2 linked regions of the Daphnia pulex genome follow. The protein of the gene in region 2 interacts with the protein of the main gene of each other region in a pairwise test. Links are inferred from orthologs where the notes say so. Each region holds a gene or a part of one and is shown on either strand. Other genes may lie near its edges. The genes, in order: E3 ubiquitin-protein ligase NEDD4-like and protein patched-like.

Region 1 (9,898 bases), on a different chromosome or scaffold from region 2:
TCCTCTTCTTGTTGTGTGGAGTAATCGTGTGAAATCCAACATGGTTTTCCAATTCAAGTTATATAACTATAATTATTGGGGGCGTGATCAAAAACTATTCGAGACGATGGGTAGTGTGAGTTCTTTTTGATTGAGTGAAACAGACTGCGAAAACCGTGTTAAGTCGGACACGACGGGAACGATCCGGCTTGGTTTCCGGTATTATTGCGGTCGCAGTTCTCATTGGCTACTGCCAAAATGCGTTCCGACTCAATACATTCCATTTGTGCACACGAAATTCCGTGTAGTATACAATACAGATTTCATTGACTGTAAATAATAAGCATGATTTAAAAAAAAATAAAGTTTGAAAGAAAATGTTTTTGCACGGACCTTCTCAATGACCCACAAATGGCTCGGAATGGAAACACCTCAAATGTACGCATTTATCCCCGAAGGCAAAGTAAAACATCTGTCAAAAGGAAGACAGTGTACATCTAGCAGACTTAGTAGATTAATGAGAATCTGAATGAAATATAATTGAGCCAGCAATTAGCTAAGAGATCAAATCGCTTATCGCCGAGTCACGTACCTTTGCTGTAAATTTGAACATTGCCCTTCTTAATCGTCATATCCTGGAGAGACTGATTACGAATAGATCGACTATAATTGTTGGTACATCAGACGATTTCCTAAATCTGAATAAAAATAAAATTATTATTTTGTAGGAACTTTAAGTCATTATGCACTCTAAAACAATTTACCTGCAATTCATAATAGAACACATGGTGCAAAGAGCCACAAAATGAAGGAACAACAGACATTTGATTATTCATCACGATCATGGTGGCTATTATTCCGCATTGCTGGGTTTGAATGAATCAGCGAAATTAAAAACGTTTAAACAGTTTTTAAAAAAAGAGAAAAAAAAAATCCACAACTCGTCGTTTATGCACGGACAGTAATGCAATCCGCCACCATATGGTTTTACACCATATGCATTTTATAAACGGGCAAAAAAACATTTTATGATGTCGAATCCAACACCCGTTCCGGTAATTATCTAGTTCTACATCAAAGCACTTTTTTTAATCAACAAATTTGGGAGGAGTCGAAAGAAAATGGAGCGAGTGCCATTACGTATTGAGTAAATAGCTCTCATGTATTGAATTTGGGAAGGTTTTTGTTTTCACTGACACACAAAGGAGGAAAGGGATGTTATTGCTGCAAAAAAATAAATGGTAAAACTTTTTTTTGGGCAAAAAAAAAAAAAAATCGTTGGATTTAAAGAGACAAATAATTTTTTTTTCGTTGACCGGGAAAGAAGTTATTTTAAAAAAAAAGAAAAAAAAATTAATAATTAAAGAAGAGGGTATAGACTGTATAATAATATGTATCACACTGTGTAGAATAGTCGCGACAAACGAGAAAAAATTGTAACACAAAACACGCAGGCAATTGTCGGGATTAAATCGACGCGACGGGGAAAAGAATAGATGATGTTATGGTGTTGGTTAATAATATTGCAACGATTTTACCGAATATGGGTCGAATGGGAAGTAGAAAAACGCAATGAAATTGCTTCCACCTTCATCTACACTTTCCTCAAGTGATGCAAGAAATGGCAAAAGTCGAACCCCCCGAAATCAAACTCCATCAGCACCCTGTTCATGACAAATGATCCAGGCCATGTCGGAGTAACAAATGTTTTCCATAGTTTAAAAGTAAGAGTTAAAGAGAAAGATAGAGAGAAATATACCAACTGTACACTACCCAAGGAAGGGGAGAAAAAGGGAAGGTAAATAAAGAGAGTACACGGCGTCTCCATAGGCATCGTGAACAAAGAGGATCGTTTTCGAGGCATAAGACAGAAATCGATTATACGACACGCACCGTTGGTGGAATGAATGATCTTACACAACTTACAGTGGTAGGGAAAGAGAATAAGAATGATAAGAAAGAAGAGAAATCTCTACAGGAAAAACACACGCAAACAAGAAATCTTTTTTTTTTAAAGATTATCGGCACGTTTAATCTACGCCGGCGAAGCCCTCAGATCCTTCGATGGCTTTGATCAGTTTATCTCTTAGCTGTTGGTAACTCTCGTAAGGTGGCAAGTCCAAACGATTGAAACTATTGACAACAGGAAAACAGAATCCATCGTCAAAAATCTTGCACGGTCTTTCGTTTCGCAAAGGAATGAAAAATGCAACTTACCAAGTGTGAGCACGGGGGAAGTTATTTGGCGTGCCCCATTTCTCGATGGTAAACGGCTGTGGGCCATTGCTGCCGTACAGCTCTTTGAATCCATTCATGGGAACACGTGATGTCCCCGTAACAAACTGCAAGACTCGAGAACGCATTTCGGGATTGAACGATAAAACCACCTAAAAAAAGGAGAAATATTCGAATTGAGGTTTCGACGATGTCGATAAAACAACTTCAAGAAAAGACGAGACTTACCCTCCAAAACCATTGCACTACCATGTGGTTGGCATTGTAATCCCCCTTGTAATTGGTGTGTTCTCTCCAATCTTTGACATCAATGGTACCAATACCACACATCAATAATTCGAGCTCATTTTCATCGAAGATCTTGAGCATCGACAAAGGAATCAAGTCCTTGAAACCGTCGAGGAAGGCACGCATCTGAGCTTCAACGCGGGACACGAACCTCCATTGGATCACCAAACTAGAGAGCAAAACATTGGTAGATCATCGCTGGAACAAATAATTTAACTTAAATAAACTTACTTGATGTATTCATGTTTATTGTCATTGGTGACAGGAATGTTGGTCCCGTTAGGCTTCAGCTCGCGCTGGATTGTTTTGCCAAAGCTTTCTTCGTCGACAGCAAAATTTAAATCCAACTCGCTTGGATCGTTCTCTTTGATCCAAACAAGAGAGTTGAAGTACTCAGTATCGACAGACTCCATATCTTTCAGTTCGATGGGCTTTTCCAACATCATTTTATAAAATGGGCGAATGAAAAAGCCGTCAAGCAATTTGCCGTGATAAACTGCCATGCCAGCAACTCGACCGATGAATTTGAAATAAGACAGATGGTCTTCGGTACACAATCCAGACATTGGGTTGATTTGCAGCGTGTAATTGTCCCTGTAGGCAAAAGTAAATGAATAAGTTGAAGTTGCAAGCAATTTAAATTGGAGACTTACATAGCAGAATATTCAAACAGGCCGTAGTATGGGTTGAACATTTCTTTAGAGAGAAGAAAGAACCATTCACGAGCAACACCGCCGTAATCGAGTCCGACTTCACCGTCAAATTCTACCCAAAGTTTCGTCTTGAGCAGCTCCGGTCGGGCGACAGTGTTGATAATTCGATACGAATCTTCCAGTATAGAGGCTCGATGAACTTTAATTTCAAACTTGTTTGGAATGTTGGCCTGTAACAAGCGGAAAAAACAAAAAAACAATTAAACCTAAGAACGCAATCAACAATAGATTGTAGGCATTTAATATATTACTGGTTTCTTAAGTTGCGACTTGAAGAAGTCGTACTTCCTTTTATAGTCACGTGAGTAAGGAACAGCCGGTCCAGCAATATTAGGGTTCGACATACGGGGGTCTTCCCATTGGGTAATTCGTGTATCTGCATGTCAAGAATGCATTAAGCGTCAGCTGTACGAGTACCACCTGACGGAAAATGCCAACTTACTATGATCAATGTAGAAGATTCTGCCATCATTATGGATTCTTTCTTCCCATCCTTCCGGAAGAGGTCCCAGCGCTTCATCTTGGAAGTTTTTGTTTCCAGGGCTCCTGAACAAACAGATAATAGAATTATTGAAATGACCTTCATTTTTGGCTTTGTTTTTGTTTGAGAAGCCCAACAAAAAGAATACGAACTGGCTCTGCCGCGGAAGTGTCGATGGTCTCCCTGATCTTGGGTCCACCCAAGTTGTAGCCCGCTTGTTATGATCGATAAAAAATAGACGTCCATTTGGAGCAACTTGCACTGTCCAACCTAGATGTTTCCAAACGAGAAGTTTGCAGCTGTACACGTACGAGGAAATGAATGATTCACGTACCTTGTGGTAGTCCTTCACTGCTAGGAACAACTACAGGTCTTGGTGGGGTTGGAGACGTACTATTTGCAACCTGTTCTCCGCCGTCAATAGACTAAAATTTGAGGGTAAAGATATGGGTTAAAAATCACGCCATGAGGAAGGTCAGCATCGAAAAAGGAAATCAGGTTTTATTCTAATTACCGTTACGGAGTGACGAGGTGACGCTGGACTAGGTCTTGGACTGCCATTAATTTGTACATCTCTTAACTACAAATTTCGAATAAAACAAGAGGAGGTAAGCACAAATTCGGTTAAGCTGACTGTAAGTTTAGCATAGTCTACTAGCTCGATATTCTACATCGAATATTTCTAGCTTTTCTTACAACTGTAACAACGCGCAGAGGCAGGCTAATCAAACCTGTTCATCGCCCTCTGCAGTATCATCCCAATAATCATCGTATTCATCATCAAATTCGTCCCCGTCATCATAATAATCATCAAGTTCTTCATCGTCATATTCATCCTCCTCAAATAATATCGATTTTCCCGAAACAGCATGCAGAAGAAAGTGGCAAAATTCGTGAGTAGATATAAACATAACCGGGAGACCCAATAAAAACGAGATCAACTCTACCTGATCAGCAATACCAGCGGCTGCATCTAGTCCAGCTTGAAGCGGATGGGCATCGTCCGATATGTGATAGCGTCGTTGCATATCCGATCCAGCAGTTTCAAGGTTACGTTCACGTGCCAACTGCTGTTCCTGAATCACAGCTTTAACGGAAAGGAAAATTCGTGATAATACTCATAAAATAACAAGCCTTCCAGACTGCTCATTTACCTGGCTGGATGGACGGTCTCTCCCACTGGGTGGTGCGAGCAATATGATTAACGTAATAGGTTCGACCGTTAGCATCTTGACGTTCCTCCCAACCAGAAGGCAAAGGGACAGACTGGGCCGTTGCATTGGCGACGTCTGGAGCGGAAGAACTTCCCTGAACGTAAACGGGCTGGAATAAAAATCAGTATATTAGTATGCGAGAATATAAATGTAAATATTTTAACTATTTTAATCAGATTTACTCTAGCTGGCTGTTCTACTTGTGCCTGTCCAGCACTATTAACACCATCTGTCGTATCAACCATTTCCCAACCAGGTTCGGGATCCTGAGTTTGAGGCTCGGTTGCAGCGACAGAATCATTGGCTACTGTAATCTCCGAAACTTCATTTGGATCAGGGATGTATGCATGATATAGTTGCAGATGTCCTTTGACCTTGGAACGCGCACTGTTTTAAGATAAAGGACATAAACATTAAGCATGAAAGCAAAAATAAGAAACAGCAATTGCAATCTATTAGCATAAAATAGCATGTACCTTCGTGGCCGAAGAATGTAATATTTCCTGGGTATACTTGTATCTGGTAGTTCCTTTGGAAGTCCAACCAAAGGAAGTTCTACCATTCCCAGAAAGTCATCTCGGGTCAAGCGATTTTCATCAAACACTTCCATCACTAGCTTATGTTCTGAAGGTTTGACCCGGAATATGAATTCTTCATCCCATTTTGGATTTAAGGTCTGTGAAGTAAATGATTAAAGTTAGAAACAAACTACTGGCAGCACTGTGATGTTGCAACATACCCTTTTCTTGGTTCGTGTCAACACTGAATCAATCACTTGTTCTCCATTATTTGCCACCAAATCAATTCTCACATAAGGATCACTAAATTTAGGAAGAAAAGTGAGGACATGAGTAATACAACAAACACCACACTTTGTTATTACCTTGCTCCAAATATGTCTTTCTTGCAAAGGTTATGCCCAGCAATCACACGTAAACGAAGTAAACTTGTAAGCTCAGGCTAAAAGAATAAATATCAAATCATGTACAGACTTACAAACAGAAATTTGCCTTCCTTTCAAACAAAAAAAAGTAAACAAAATCTGATTTTGACCAGATTTGTCCGGGTTTAAGGTTTCATATTTCGGTATTTAGACACGTAGTACGTACCATTGCGTTATTGAGCCCATAGACACGACTTTCGGCCATGCAAACTTTTGAATTTTCCTTGACTTGATGCGATAAAAAATGAGTATTGACTCTGCAGATTTTCAAGGTTTAAAATTGAACAAACTAATTGAAAATGAAGTTTTTCACGCCCCAGCCCCAGCGTACAACACAACCAGAGAGCAGACAACTTGTATAGTTGTAGGCAACGAAAGTCGACTCGAGAACTGATGAATATCAGCTGATGGAGAATTTCGTCAGTCACGTGACCCATCGATGTGAGTTTGTGACAATGCTCTCTACTAAATGCGCTCTTGAAAAAAACGAAACATCGCACATGCTTGAACTCAATTTATTTCTTTGTTCGAAAGTGGTCGGCTGTAGATAATACGTTACCGTTTACAAAAAATTGAAATGAGGGGCGTGATTATATAGAGAAATCTGCCCTACAATAAACACATTCAAAGCAACCTACCGTCACCGCGACAGGACTGCCTATATGTGGATTATAATATTAATGACGTATGTGCCCATCAATAGATGACTGTGATTTTCGAAGCCTTTTGTCTAAGCACATAATTTTACATAATAGAAACGTTGTAATGAATACAATTCAAAATGATTGGGGGAAAATACCGTCGAAAAACACATCATGGAGGAAATTTGTCAAAGGTTTTCAAAAATAACCTAGATGACAACGAATTAACTATGTGAAGGCTTTTTGAAATGAAAATACATGGAGAAGCCCCACATAGTCGCGTAAAAAAGAGAAAAGCGAGTAAAAGGTGACAACACAACGAGAGCAGAATCAATACATCGAACAGTCAAACGAGATCTTCTAGACTGAAGTAGCTGATTTCTTCTACTAGATTCTGCTTTAGGTAGATACTTGATTCTGCTAAAGAATAAGTACACATAATCAATTGGAGCCCAGATGGGCAATCGACGCGGCAGAAGAAGAGGAGGAAGTGCTCAAAGTCCCAGGTTGGGCGTGACTTGAACTGCTCGTGCAGCTGCTTGTGTCTGAGCAATCGAGGGCAAGTTGTAGGCTGAAACGTTGAATGGCAACTTCGGCTGGAGAACGTTCTCTCGGCAAGTTCAAACTATTCCTCCATTGAGCAGAAGGAAGTTCGTCGTCGTCTTCTATAAACAAAGCATTCCAATTCAACAGCTGTGTAAATTAAACATTTCTCAACTAACATTACCCCTGACTGAGGAGGCCCCTCCTTCTATCTCATTCATAGCTGGAGTTGAAATACAAGCAAGAACTTCTGCGTAACTAGGAGGAGGTGTTCCCGCGTCCAAAAAATCGCTAGAATCCAAAGTATCGTTGCTCCGTCGTAACATCAACGTGTGACTCATAGGTGTTTCGACTAAATCATTCGACGGAGCGGATGGAACAACTAAAAGACCTGCAACATAAATATAATGCATTAAATTTGTTGAAATACGAAATAAAAACTTCTGTTTTTACTTGTGGTTTCGCGGCTGTTTTCACTTTCTTCGATAACTAGACGATTGGATGGATTTTCAGAATAGGGCGGTGGGTTATCCGTGACGGACGAATTAGGTAGCTTCCACATCATGTAAATTGAAGATTGATTTTCTCCAAGATTCATTAAGGGTTGAGGTTGTCTGTGCACATAACATACAACATCATTAGCCGAAATTGATTACTCCGATAATGTAACTTTACGCTACCTGCTGAGATGTCCAGTACTACTCGTCAGATCTCCATGATCAAAACTCGCTATACTACTTGAGGGAATTGTATCTCCTTCCAATTCATGACAAGCTGTTGAATAAAATGTAAAAGAATAAAATTGTAGTAAGAGATATTCAATAACATTGATATAAATGCATATTGATTCAGCATTACCTGAATGATTCCGCACACGACGTCTCTTTAACCGATAAAAGAGGAAGGCTAAAAGAGCCAGTGAGAGTACAGCAGTGACTGCTGTTGCTATTAAACGTAAACCCAAATCCCCCCCAACCCAGTTCTCATCACCCCACGTAACATCGATGGAACCTTCATCATTCCCTCCTTCAGTGTTGTCCAAGCAAATGAATTCACAGCAAGAACTTCCAATTCTGAAGGATTTGCAATCCTGTGAATGAATTTGATCAAAATTAACATTTGCTTGACTTTTAAAAATCTTTTGTTGTTATAATGTACCTTGGGAGCAGCACACAAGACCGCTTGGCACCATTTTGGCTTTCCTCCATCACAAAGACAGACTGTACAGGAATCTGGGCCTGGAACATAGTGATTCCCACCAGTGATGGTCCTTCCATTAATATCTTGGCAGCTCTCTCCAAAAACACCGATTTCATCTTCTTGGGAACTATCAGGGGTGGCAACAAGGAACCTTTCACCAGGCATTCTAAAATAGTTGTGTGTGAATATTGATTAGAACCACTTTACACGACTTTCCCCTATGAATTAATTGGCTGCGTTGTTTACCTGGCAGTCACGTCACGCCAAGTCACGAAAGGAATGGGAGCGGAAAAATGTTCCTGTTATGTCAATTTATCCAGGTTTTCAAATACCAGGTCGCCTCGAGAACTTGACTTTGAAAAGACAAGAGATAGTAACAAGCCATATAGAGTATAAAACCACCCTATCTTGTTCTACAAAAAGCTGCGCGAAAAAAACTGAAAACTTATTTTAGGCAGTGATAAATAACACTTTGCTATCAACACTTTATCATGGAGGTATATTCCTGATAAACACACGAGTACGCGTTCAGCTCAAAAATGACACTCTTTACAGAAAAATGTAGTACTAAAAACAATCGACTGACGCGCCACCTAACGTCGAAACCAGCACAACAGATGCTAGATGGAGTACAGCAGGAAGTCGTGGGTTTGAGGAGGGAATGCCTTTTCTTTCTGAGTTAAAGTCATCAAAACCCTTTTTTTGGTATGAAGATGGAATGCCAAAGGCAATAAACAAGTTTTTACAGATGTATTAATTCAAACCTATCCAGAAAAAATGCTATTCAAGTACTAAGGAAAAAATCTTCTTTGTCTTATACTCCAAATTTACTACGTCCGGTAGTTGAGCGGATCGATGTTCTCGGTTCTAATTAATTATAGTGCTCAAAACAAAGTAATTTTCTACTAGATTTGTTTGTTTTTGTAGGCATCTTAAATTCTGTTTCGTTTTATGACGCATAGCTGTTGGTATTTGAAGGATATAGGTTGGGTAGCTTACACAGCACTTCTTTATTCAAACTGAAACTTGGTTTCCGTGAATCTATTTAGGTCGGAGCCGTTGAGGTGCGTGCAGAGCTTGGCAAAATTTTATGGCCATGCAGCAGATGTAAACAGACCATTTTCAGCAGAGTCTACATATATTTATTCTCCACCACGCAACCTTTAAAGGAAGCCGATCTGTATGGAAACCTTATCCCTTTTCAGTGACCAGTGGGAGTATTGTATTTGGAGACTCGTATTTCTTCACGCCTTAAAATGTAAACAAATTAAAATAAATACAAAGGATTAACCCTTTATCTCTAGCTATACGAAGTTTATTGGAAACGGATATAGTATAATAACGTTAACTACACAACATTTGACGCTCTTCAAATCTCCGCGCCTCTCTAACAGAACACAACACGTCCGATAGAAGAGACAGCGACCGCATTTCTCTAGAAACGGGATAAATATAACAATACAATCATAGTGTTTATAATAATGATCAAGTAATAGGTTGGTTTAAAATATTCAAAGTTAACCGGAACGAGATTCATGCAAACTTAATATGTAACACATCTAAATCTTCACTTTCTTTTCGTAAATGGACGAGTGGTCGACTAATGCGACATCGGCATCGGATTTGTTCATCGATATGCCTGAAACATAGAATATTGTTTA
Region 2 (9,963 bases):
AGATTTTGCTGGTGAAAGCGTCCGGGAGGAACAAAAGGAACAAGAAAAAAGCCGTGAGCGAGATCTCTTTATTAAAAGGAGAGTCGCCAGTTTGAAACTAAACAAGAGAGAGAACTCGAGAGAGAGAGAGAGAATAAAAACATCTCCATCCAGTCAAGTCGGACAGATCCAGCTGTTTTGGTATTCAGCAAACACGAGAGCCCATTGCTTTTTGCTTATAGCTCTCTCGGTTGTTGCTGCTGCTGCTGCGGCGGCAGCGACTGGCTGGGTCATTAGGCGCCGGCCCTAAAAAGGGTTCTCTCTCTCTTTTCTCAGTCATTCTGTGTGTGTGGCTGGACTCTTTTTTCAACTCGTGTAGTAGATATATATATATATATATACAGCTGCGCCCTTCTTTCTTTTTTTCTTCTTTCCATCTTTTCCCCTTTCTCTCCCGTTTTCAACGTTTTCACATTAGTCTCTCAAGCTCCTTGGAACACCTGCATCGGGCCGCTCTCTTTTGAAAGGAAGAAAAACAAAAACAAGCCGACTTCTTCTTCTTCTCCCCTCTATCATCTGATCCAAGACTACTTCTTCTTATATAGAGAAGCCTGGAAAAAAGAAAGAAAGAAAGAAAGAAAAGAAGTCCGCCGTGGAATTCCACGGGCGACATTCTCTCAGCTGCTCGAGAGGGGGTCCTTCCGCGTCCGTCGTCCGTTTTTCTTTTATTATTTGTCCAACTTGTTATTATTATTATTACTATTTGCCTCTTGTGCCTGTTCACCGATACTGTTCGAGCTCGTTGATTTCATTCTCACGGCCTTATTCTTCTTCTTTTTGGCTTGGAATTATTTCTTAACAAAAATTTTTGTCTTCCTGGACTTGTCCACACACAAACGGCGTGCGAGTCCCAGTGCCAATATTGAATAACCAGAAGCTTCTTCACATTCCAACTTCTTTTTTTTTTTTTTTTTTTCTTGAGTGAATGAACTTTTTTTTTCTTTGGTGACGACAAACTTTACTGGAGTAACCGTCCAACAACAAAAAACTGGGCGAGAAGGAGAGAAACAAAAAAGAACCGAGCTGTGTGCGTGTCGTCATGTGGAGGGTCTCGACGTCGACCACCCAAACGGTTTTTTCTCTTTTTGACTCTCGACCAAAGAAACAACAACAAAAAAGAAGAAGAGATCCAGACTTGAACGCGGAACCCGCCGGTGTCTTTAAGTTTTTCTTTTTTTTTTCTTTTTTAAAAGAGAATTTTTCTTTTTTTTTCAACTTCTTCATTTTCTTTTTGTGCTCATTTTCATCATCTATTCCCCCAACCCTCCATCTCTGTTTCAGTGTCTTTTTTCTTTTTTGAAAAAGTCGGGGCCCGACTTTATTACAGCGCGGCGGGCCGTCTTCATCGTTTTGGAGGGCAGCCAGATATCTTCATCTTCGTCGGGTTAAATCGATGATGGGGCTCAAATATTCACAAGTCTACACATAGAAATTTTTTCCTTTTTTTCTTTTTCTTCAATAGAAAAAGAAGACGATGGATGGATGGAAGGAAAAAAAGAAAGAAACAACAACAACAAAATACTTCAAAAAGAACCGGTTATTGTGTTTTGTTTGCGAGCCAAAAGTAGACTGGAAACTCATTCAGTCGGCGCCGGAGAGAGGCCACCCAGGCGACGGCCGATGGGGCCCCCAGATTAGAAAAATCAAACAAAAATGAAAAAAAAAAAAAGAAAAAGAGAGAAACTCTCTCTCTTCCAAATTCTTCCACCAAGTGTTGTGTGTGTGTGTGTGTGTATGTACATAAATATATACACACACACACACAGGCGCATTTATGTCTATACACAAAATTAACAACAAAAAAAGGAAGATGGCGGCGCTGGCCAGAAAAAGAAGAAAGAAAGAAACACTTACGTATCGAACATTTCGACGGTGACTTTGGTGGCGGCTTGGACGGCCCGCAGGTGGGCCAGCAGCGCGTCGCGGCTGAGTAAGGAGCCGCCTTGGCCGTTACTCGGCGTCTGGATGAGGATCTGATGGGTCGAGCCGGCTCCTTCGCCCAGCGTCCGTCTCATGTAGGCCAACTCCTTCTCCAAACGGCCACCCTCTGTGCAGGATCAACACATTTTTCAGAGAAAAAGAATAAAATAAAATAACTCCATTAGTTCAAGGGCACACACAAAACCCTCCTCTTTCTTCTTCATCTTCTCCCGACCGACCGACCGACCAACCGACCGATAGAGCCATCAACTCGGCCGCCATTAAGCCCTCGACTCTCTTAACGATATACCTCCACTCTTGAAAAGCCCCTCGAGATAATCACAGGTTAAGAGAGAGACTCGCAGGCATTTCTCCAGCGTATAGACAACAACAACAACATCTCACAATGTTTCAGGAGAAACGCCGACCGAATACGCAATTGCCCACCTCAAAGTTTGTCTTCTTCTTTTTCCCTTGGCTCGGAGTTTTTTTTTTTTCATCGGAATCACGCGGGATTTTCTCTCGCGTCCCACCCAGAATGTTTTCTTTCAGTCCAAAAAGAAGAAGAAGAAAAAATAAAGAAGAATTCAGAGTGTTCAAGTGGTCAAGTTGAACAACCTCTTTTCCCGAACGGCTCTGCGGCGCCGTTTTTAATGAGCTTCCTGTAAATAATGTTTTTTTTTTTTTCTTTTTCTTTTTTTCAAAAAGAGAGGTTGCTCATATTTTAAACACCCGAGTTTGTCTAGCCAATCTAACGTTTACGCTTTTACCGATTGCCAGGCGAAAAGAAAGAAGAAAAAGACGGGGCTGTATTTTCTTTTTTGGCCGAAATCGTATGGGCCATAGCTCTAGGACCGGTTTTTGAATAAATACATAGACATTCTCTCCTTCTATTGCTTCTCTTTGACTCGTCGAGTGAAGACATCACGGCCAACAAGTCAATTAAAACGATACGCTTATAAAACAGCAGCCTTCAGAGTTGGGACTCTCTCTCTCTCGCTATGGGTGGCCGATTGCTGGACCCTTAGGGACCTTTAAGGCTTCTCCAATGCAAATTCCATTCTCGGCTGTCTTGGCTATCCAAAACAACCGACCGACCGAAAATGACCGAAACACCAAAACGGAACGCTCGAGAGACAAAAAGAAGTTTTGTTTCTTTTGGGGAGAAAATCAGATCCAACTGATTTTCCAGAGTGACGTGATGGATTCACAATCCACCAGCCAACACGTACACACACACATATATATCTATCTCTCTTTACTCTATTCCATTTCGATTCTCTCTGCCATCAATGGCCAACCCGACCAAAATAACAAAAAAAAAAAAAAACTTCTTTTTTCTCTTCCCGTTGTGTGTGTGTGTAGAGGGGGCGACGTGCAGTGCATGTGTTGCGTGTCTCACTGGGTGGCCGAACGCGCTCAACCGGCCCCGAAGAGAAAAGGAAAAAAGAATGAAGAAGAATAAAAAAGGAATAGAGAGAGAGTATATAGCATCCGCATGAGTCTTCCCCGCGAGCAAAGTAAACGCAAAGAAGAAAACTCGGATGAAAGCAGAAGAGAGAGAGAGAGAGACTAAGAAACGAACTGAAAAAAAAAACTGTATTTTTCTTACCAGCCAAAGAAGAAGGAAAGAAAAAACGACCGAAAGAGGGTTCTATGTGTGTGTGTGTGTGAGGGAAACTACTACCAGCCGGTCTCTCTTGTCTTGTCGAAGAACCCAGAAGCAGGGCTGACCTTGATGTTTTGGGTAGGAAGAAGAACAAGAAGACGGCATTCCTTTTTAAAAAAACTGATCTAAACGTATTGTGTGTCGACGATATCTCTACTCTCTCTACTGTACTGGGCACTATAAAGTGCCTATTATGCGCACCACCCCCTGATCGCTGGATTTCCAAAATTCAAATGGGGAGACGCAATCGTCGGAAGTGATGGAATAATAGAGAGAAAAAAAGAAGATGGAGGTCAGAAAAGAATAAGGAAAAGAATAGGAGAGAGAGAAAAAATCTTTTCCTATTGTAACGAGTTTGACGGGTCAATTGAGAAAAGGGACGACCGATAGCCTCTCTTCTCGCTCTACAAGAGTAACACACACGCACAAATGAAAAGAAGAAGAAAAGTTTTCAGGTACGCTGGCTGGATACAATGGACCAAAGAAGAAAGGGGGGAAGGAAAAGAAAGAGAAGAAGAAGTAAAAAAAAAAAAAAAAACATTCTTTTCTAGCTCGTAAATTCTCTCTCCACCCCGCTGTCTTTTCTTCCTCTTGTGCCCAACTTTGGGTGTGCTGTACCTTCGTTCCCTTCCGTTGGGTGGTCCAAACAAGAATTTTATAACTTCTCTCTCTCCAATGTTGTTTCTTTTTTTCTTCCTCGGGTGACAATTTGGCCGTACGTCATCATCAGCCAAAAATAAGAGAAGAAGAAAAAACCTGCGTGATCAGGTATGTTCTTCACAAAAGGCCGCCAAAAGAACCTAGCAGCTGTTTTTTAATTTTTACTTTGGAAAATAACTTTTCTTCTTCAAGGGGTGGAAGGGGGGTGTCTGATTTCGGAGAGGGGGGAAACGACAGGACCATATGGAACCCCCCGAACAACAACTACATTTTCCTTTTTTTTTTTTTTTGACAGAAGGATGAAAAATTTCCCATGTGAACATGTGTGCAGGTTTGGCTTGGCAAATAACACGATTCTCTTGTGAGAAGGGGGGGGGGGAAATACCGCGACCTGCAGAGAGTTCATTAAAGATACGGTCCAGGGGAATCAAATCCAGCTGGAGGCTGCCGCCCTAATGAAGACATGTTCTCTCCCCTGGCCATCTAGAATGGATAGAGACCTCGTCTTGCTGTTGATTGTTGGGTAGGTGCTAAACATTCCAGAGGAGAAATAACAAAAAGAAGAAGAAGAAGAGGGGTTCTATAGTAAATAGCGGACCTGGTAATGGCCACCAATCGTGAAAGAGAATCATCCGATGCGGGCGGATTTGGGGCAAAGGGGAACATAAAACACCCTCTCTCTCTCTCAAACAAGGGCCGTCTATTTTCGGGTGTTCCAGCCAAGTTCTTTTTCCGGTCTCTCTCTCTGTGTATGTGTTGGCAATGCCGGAGAAAAAGAAGAAGCGGATGGAGAGCCCAACAACGCATCAATGGATGAGGAGGGGGAGATCCTATTTTGAAGGGATCAAAAGTGTTGTATTACCTTCGACCCAGAGTTTCTCGACGTCCGTTTGAATGCTGGCGGATTTGAGGCCGACGCAGAAGGTGGACAGGACGAGGAGTCCAACGAAAAGGACTTTGCCCGCGTGCCGTTGGACGAATCGGCCCAGGTGGAAGAGATGCCACTGAAGTTTCGTCCTTAACCACAGCGCCGCTTTGTTGCCTGATGCTTTACCCTATTGGAAAAATAAATAAATAAAAGAAAATAGAGACGTCAGAAACGAACAAAAATAAAAATCTATGAGATTCCGGAATGTTTTTATATCCTTCCAGCGCAGCCCCCTTGAATCAGTTGGGCAGCAGCGAATGGTTGTGGAAAGGAGGAAAAACAAGTTAAAAAAGGAGAGGTAAAGGAAAGAGAGTGGCTGATGGGTTTTTGTGTTGGGGCCTACGCCCTTGAGCGATGGCTTGGCCTCAACTGTTTCTCTTTCTCTCTCTTGGTTGGTAGTACACAGTCGGTTGTTGCAGCAGGGGCCCCCGTTGTTGTTGATGTCTTCATTCCGTCGGGCGATGCCAGAGCCCCCTATATACCGACGGTCTATACCATCCACCCGAAAATATACACCTCACCTTGGCATAGCCACCACAGACTTTTTCTCTGTGTTTTTTTCGTACTTACACGCAGCATAAATTATCTTATGCAATTGTTTATTCACAAGAAGAAGAAGAAGATGTTTTATAAAGACGCACCTTTTTGATTTGATGAAGGGCGAGCCGGGCATCTGTCCAGCTCGTCCTGGTCAACAAGTCGGAATCGACGCTGCTGCTGGTGCAGAGTGCCGCGTAAGCGTCTTGAGGTGTCAGTGAAGAAGTTTTCGAGCATCCGCCATTCGATTTCTCCATTGCGGCGTGCGAGTGCATCGTTATGGCCATGACACTACTACAGCGCCGTTCGTGATGATTCGTTTTCGTCTGCAAGCAATTCCTCGTCTCCCGACACGTCGGGCGATTTCAACGGAAACACACTCGGCGGCTGCGGCACTGAACAACAACAACAACAACAACAACTTTGACGATGATGATCACCAGCAGCGGTCGCAACCGACCAGCAGCCTAACATGGCCTCGTTTCATGACGGGCTAAACAACACACAACCATGGGGCGAAATTTCGTGACACACCGAACAAATTTCTAGGGGGAGGAAAATAGAAAAGAAATGGCTGATTCTAACGGCACAACAACACACTGTGGAAGAAATTGTTAGGGGACGAACACCATCCGTCGTCGTCGTCTTTTTGGTTAATCCGTGTTGGTGATAGAAACCAGAAAATGTCGTCGTTCTTTCGAGTTTCTTTTGGTTGGGGACTTGAAAATTCTTGTTTCGTTCACACACTAAATTTCTTCAAATTCACACACACTTTGGAAGAAAAAAATATAGATATTTCACACTCGGTTTGTGTGTGTGTGTTTCAGAGAAAGAGACACACGACTCTTCTTGTAGCTTCCTGCTTGTCGACTGAAAACTCGAGGAGAGATGGCCGCTAGCTTAGTACACGCACGCCCCGCTAGACCTCCTCCCCCCCCCCCCCGCTACCACCACCCAGTGTCCCTCCTTCTTTTTCGAGTTTGGCTGGGGATACCCGCAGGCTAAGGAAATTTTTCGGGTCGCCCGCCCACCGCGTCAACCACCACGTGGCGGATCGACAAACTACAGCGCGCCATTTTCTTCTTTTTCAAGTATATTTTTTTTAAAAAGGAAAATTTCGTTTTGAAATGTTGGAAAAGATGCGATTAATAGTTATAAACGGAGGAATGACTTTTGGTCTAATCGGCTCAGCAATCGTTCAATGTGTAATTGAATATTCGGGACAGAGTTCTCCAAGTGGGGAAATTTGAAACCCAAGACTTTGAAAAATGGCAGCAGCAGCGGATCCGACTCGGATTCCATTCATTGGACCTTCGTTTTTCTATTTCTTTTTTAAAAAGTTCCATCCACCATCTAAAAGAGACAAAACATTTTCCCAGTGAAAGGGGGCGCGAGTGTGTATAGCGTACACACTGTAGTTCGGACTTGTGGGGGTGGTCTTAGCCGTTGCCTGGGCAACACGCAGAACACCAAACCCACGGGCAATACACAAAAGCCCTGGACCCCACACGACGGCCAAGAACCCCAAAAACCTTTTTTTCTTCTTCTTCTTCTTGTATATATACACACACACATGCACAACTTCCTCTTTTTAATTCCAACAACTTTGCTCACGTAGACGAAAAAATTTCTACCACACACACACACACACATCATTTCTTTAGAGAAAAAGTCAAATGTTGGTGGAGATTTATTTCGATCACGACGAACCAACGAACCAACCGTTTTCCAATGTTTTTCGTCTGCACAGCCCAACTTGTGTGCTGCACTGCATCCCTGAGAAAAGAAGTCATTATTTTAATGACTCTATTCTCTTGTCAGTTTCTCGTGCCCGCGTTCTTTTACGGTTATAGTCACACAGGTAAAAAAGAAAGAAAGAAAGAAGAGTTTTTTATTTTAAAAAAGAAAAGATGGTGTGGAAGAAAAGAAAGAAAAAAGAGAGTGGCGCTGTTAGTGTAATCTGGTGGCGGATGTGCCTGGGCAATTACGGCCCAGGCCAAAACTTTAATTGCCAACGAACTTTGACCATGTTTTTTTCTTTTTTTTTACTTGTTGCACACAGCACAACTCTCTTTCTCACTCGAGAGTTATATACACACATACACTGTGTGTCTACTCGAGATTTGTCAACAATCAAACACACAGAACAGAACCGTGTGTGTACAAAAAAGAAAATGTCGGGGAACAAAAAAAAAAAAGAATTGGCAATGGCTGCCATAAGAGAAAGAAGAAAGAAAGAAAAAAGACAACTTCTTTTACTTACGGGAGAGTTCTTTTTTTAAAAGAAGTGCGTCTGTGTGGTTTTGTGAAGTCTCCGAGTCGTTTTCATGTTGGGTGGTCCTCTCTCTCTCTCTCTTTCCATGTACACCATCACTCTTTTCTATTGGGAAAGGTTTTTCTCTCTCTTGTACCAAAAGAAAAAAGCTGTCGGCCATCTTAGATTGTTTTTATTTCATCAAACTCTATAATAAAATTCTCTCCTTTTTTATTTTACTCGAGTATAAAAATCCAATCGATCGCTTGACTGATTGAAGAACACAAAACCCCCTGGAAAATTGTTCGTTCTTCTTTTGTTTTCCAGCGTTGCATTACGCTCTCAATTTTCGTAGAGTAGAAAGAATTGAACTGGAAAAAATGTGAACCCACCACTACACGATTCATGGCTTGTGTTTTATTTTTATTATTATTTCGGAAAGAAGAGTCCCCCCTTGTAAAATAGGAAGAAAAAAAGGAAATAAATAAGATAAGATGGTCGATGGAGATATGGAGTCTGACAGGTTGGTTGAAGAAGAAGAGTTGGGAGAGGGGGGAATCTTTACACAGGTAAATGTTGTATGGCGGGAGGGTTGAAGAAGAAGAAGAAGAAAAAAAAAACCTTTTTCTTCTTCAAGATTCTTTTCTTTTCCCTTGAAACTGTACACACAATAGATCTCATTGCCTCAGATCGCCGCCGCCGCTCGAACGATGCCGACGCCGAGAATAATTTATCGTTTCTCTTTTATTTTCTTACCCCCGGATCTTCTGCTCTTTTCTTACGCACAAATGGGGCCGATCTATAGAGAGAAGAGAGCCATACCTTTAGAGAATCTCTCATTCTTTATATATATACCTTAATAACATCCATTAAGTCAAAAGGGGGCCTCTCGTCTAACTTTTTGGGGTCCCGGGTGAATGTTCCATTGTCCGAGACTATAAGAAGAGATTTTTCTTGAAACCTTAAACTCCCTTTTATTGCGTGTCCGCTTAGACTGGGGTTGAATCCGAGTCATTGTTGCGCCAAAAAAAAAAATAAAATCCTTAACAGGCCACGTAATCTATCGTGACCGACCGTTTATAAGGAAAAAGAGCGCGGCATCGGCCATTTAGTTTTGTCATCCATCAATCGTCTCACCGGTCCCTATACATAACACACGTCGACATTTGCGAAACTCTTTTTTCGTTCTTCGTTTTTTTTTAAATTCTTCTTCTTTCCCGTCTTCAAGTTTCTTTATTGGCCGGCGATCTCTGATCGACCCGAGTTATTTTCTTCTTCTTATCTATCCATGAACCAGTCGGGTTTGTTGTTATTCGTCGACTTGGGTGGTCTCTGACTTCTGTTGCTCCTGGCAGCCAGCAGCAGCGCTCCTTTGGCTCCTCGAGCTTCGTCTACACTATTATTCGAATAGTTTCACCGTCGTCCCAAAAAAGAAAGAAGAAGAAAGAAAGAAAACAAGAAAGAAGATACACTATCAAAAAGTCTCTCCGGCTCCGGAGCATCTGATTCTCTTTGGGGTGTTGGGGGTCTCCTCCCGGACAAGACAAACACACAAACAAAACTCACGGGCGCACCTCTCAGTATCTTCTTTTTTCTTCTTCTTTGGCCGACCCCACACGGCACTTGTTTTCTTCTTCTATCCGTTGGCGAGCAGCTCAATCCGATAAAAGAAACAATCAAGGCGCACACCATCAGACGGAGGAATAACACCGTCAGATGGCGCATTCCTCTCATGCACCATCAAATGCACCAACACACACAGGATGTGTGTGTGTGCCATCAAGGTGTATAGTTGTCGGTTATGTAAGCAGGAAAAAGAATCAAACGAATGTAGTATACACACACAGGCGGTTACAAAGTGATTGCGTAAACCCTATGGCGGATGTGCGCATTTTATTTTTTCGCCCAACTCTTATTCATTTTTTCGGTCGTAAGAAACTAACCAACAAATTCCTG

What was found.
Region 1: the proteins of protein patched-like (region 2) and E3 ubiquitin-protein ligase NEDD4-like interact in a two-hybrid assay, tested with the Drosophila melanogaster proteins (2 studies listed by BioGRID). The link is inferred for Daphnia pulex from reciprocal best matches to the Drosophila melanogaster genes ptc and Nedd4.

What each region holds. Positions count from the first base shown.
Region 1 is NC_060022.1:1,839,255-1,849,152, reverse strand, and holds E3 ubiquitin-protein ligase NEDD4-like, read right to left. Parts: upstream 6,322-9,898; 5' UTR 6,059-6,321; coding exon 6,020-6,058; intron 5,871-6,019; coding exon 5,794-5,870; intron 5,732-5,793; coding exon 5,650-5,731; intron 5,587-5,649; coding exon 5,387-5,586; intron 5,298-5,386; coding exon 5,093-5,297; intron 5,020-5,092; coding exon 4,851-5,019; intron 4,784-4,850; coding exon 4,644-4,783; intron 4,277-4,643; coding exon 4,211-4,276; intron 4,122-4,210; coding exon 4,031-4,121; intron 3,967-4,030; coding exon 3,849-3,966; intron 3,762-3,848; coding exon 3,658-3,761; intron 3,592-3,657; coding exon 3,467-3,591; intron 3,386-3,466; coding exon 3,156-3,385; intron 3,097-3,155; coding exon 2,734-3,096; intron 2,672-2,733; coding exon 2,443-2,671; intron 2,367-2,442; coding exon 2,197-2,366; intron 2,113-2,196; coding exon 2,010-2,112; 3' UTR 1,355-2,009; downstream 1-1,354. Other genes in the region: integral membrane protein DGCR2/IDD-like, read right to left, coding at 6,936-7,159, 7,222-7,428, 7,491-7,651, 7,718-7,811, 7,896-8,127, 8,196-8,402; integral membrane protein DGCR2/IDD-like, read right to left, coding at 9,797-9,876. UniProt on the Drosophila melanogaster protein: Essential E3 ubiquitin-protein ligase which accepts ubiquitin from an E2 ubiquitin-conjugating enzyme in the form of a thioester and then directly transfers the ubiquitin to targeted substrates.
Region 2 is NC_060018.1:5,079,196-5,089,158, reverse strand, and holds the start of protein patched-like, read right to left. Parts: upstream 6,640-9,963; 5' UTR 6,041-6,639; coding exon 5,858-6,040; intron 5,344-5,857; coding exon 5,151-5,343; intron 2,087-5,150; coding exon 1,894-2,086; intron 1-1,893. UniProt on the Drosophila melanogaster protein: Segmentation polarity protein. Acts as a receptor for the hedgehog protein (hh). Associates with the smoothened protein (SMO) to transduce the hedgehog signal leading to the activation of wingless, decapentaplegic and patched itself.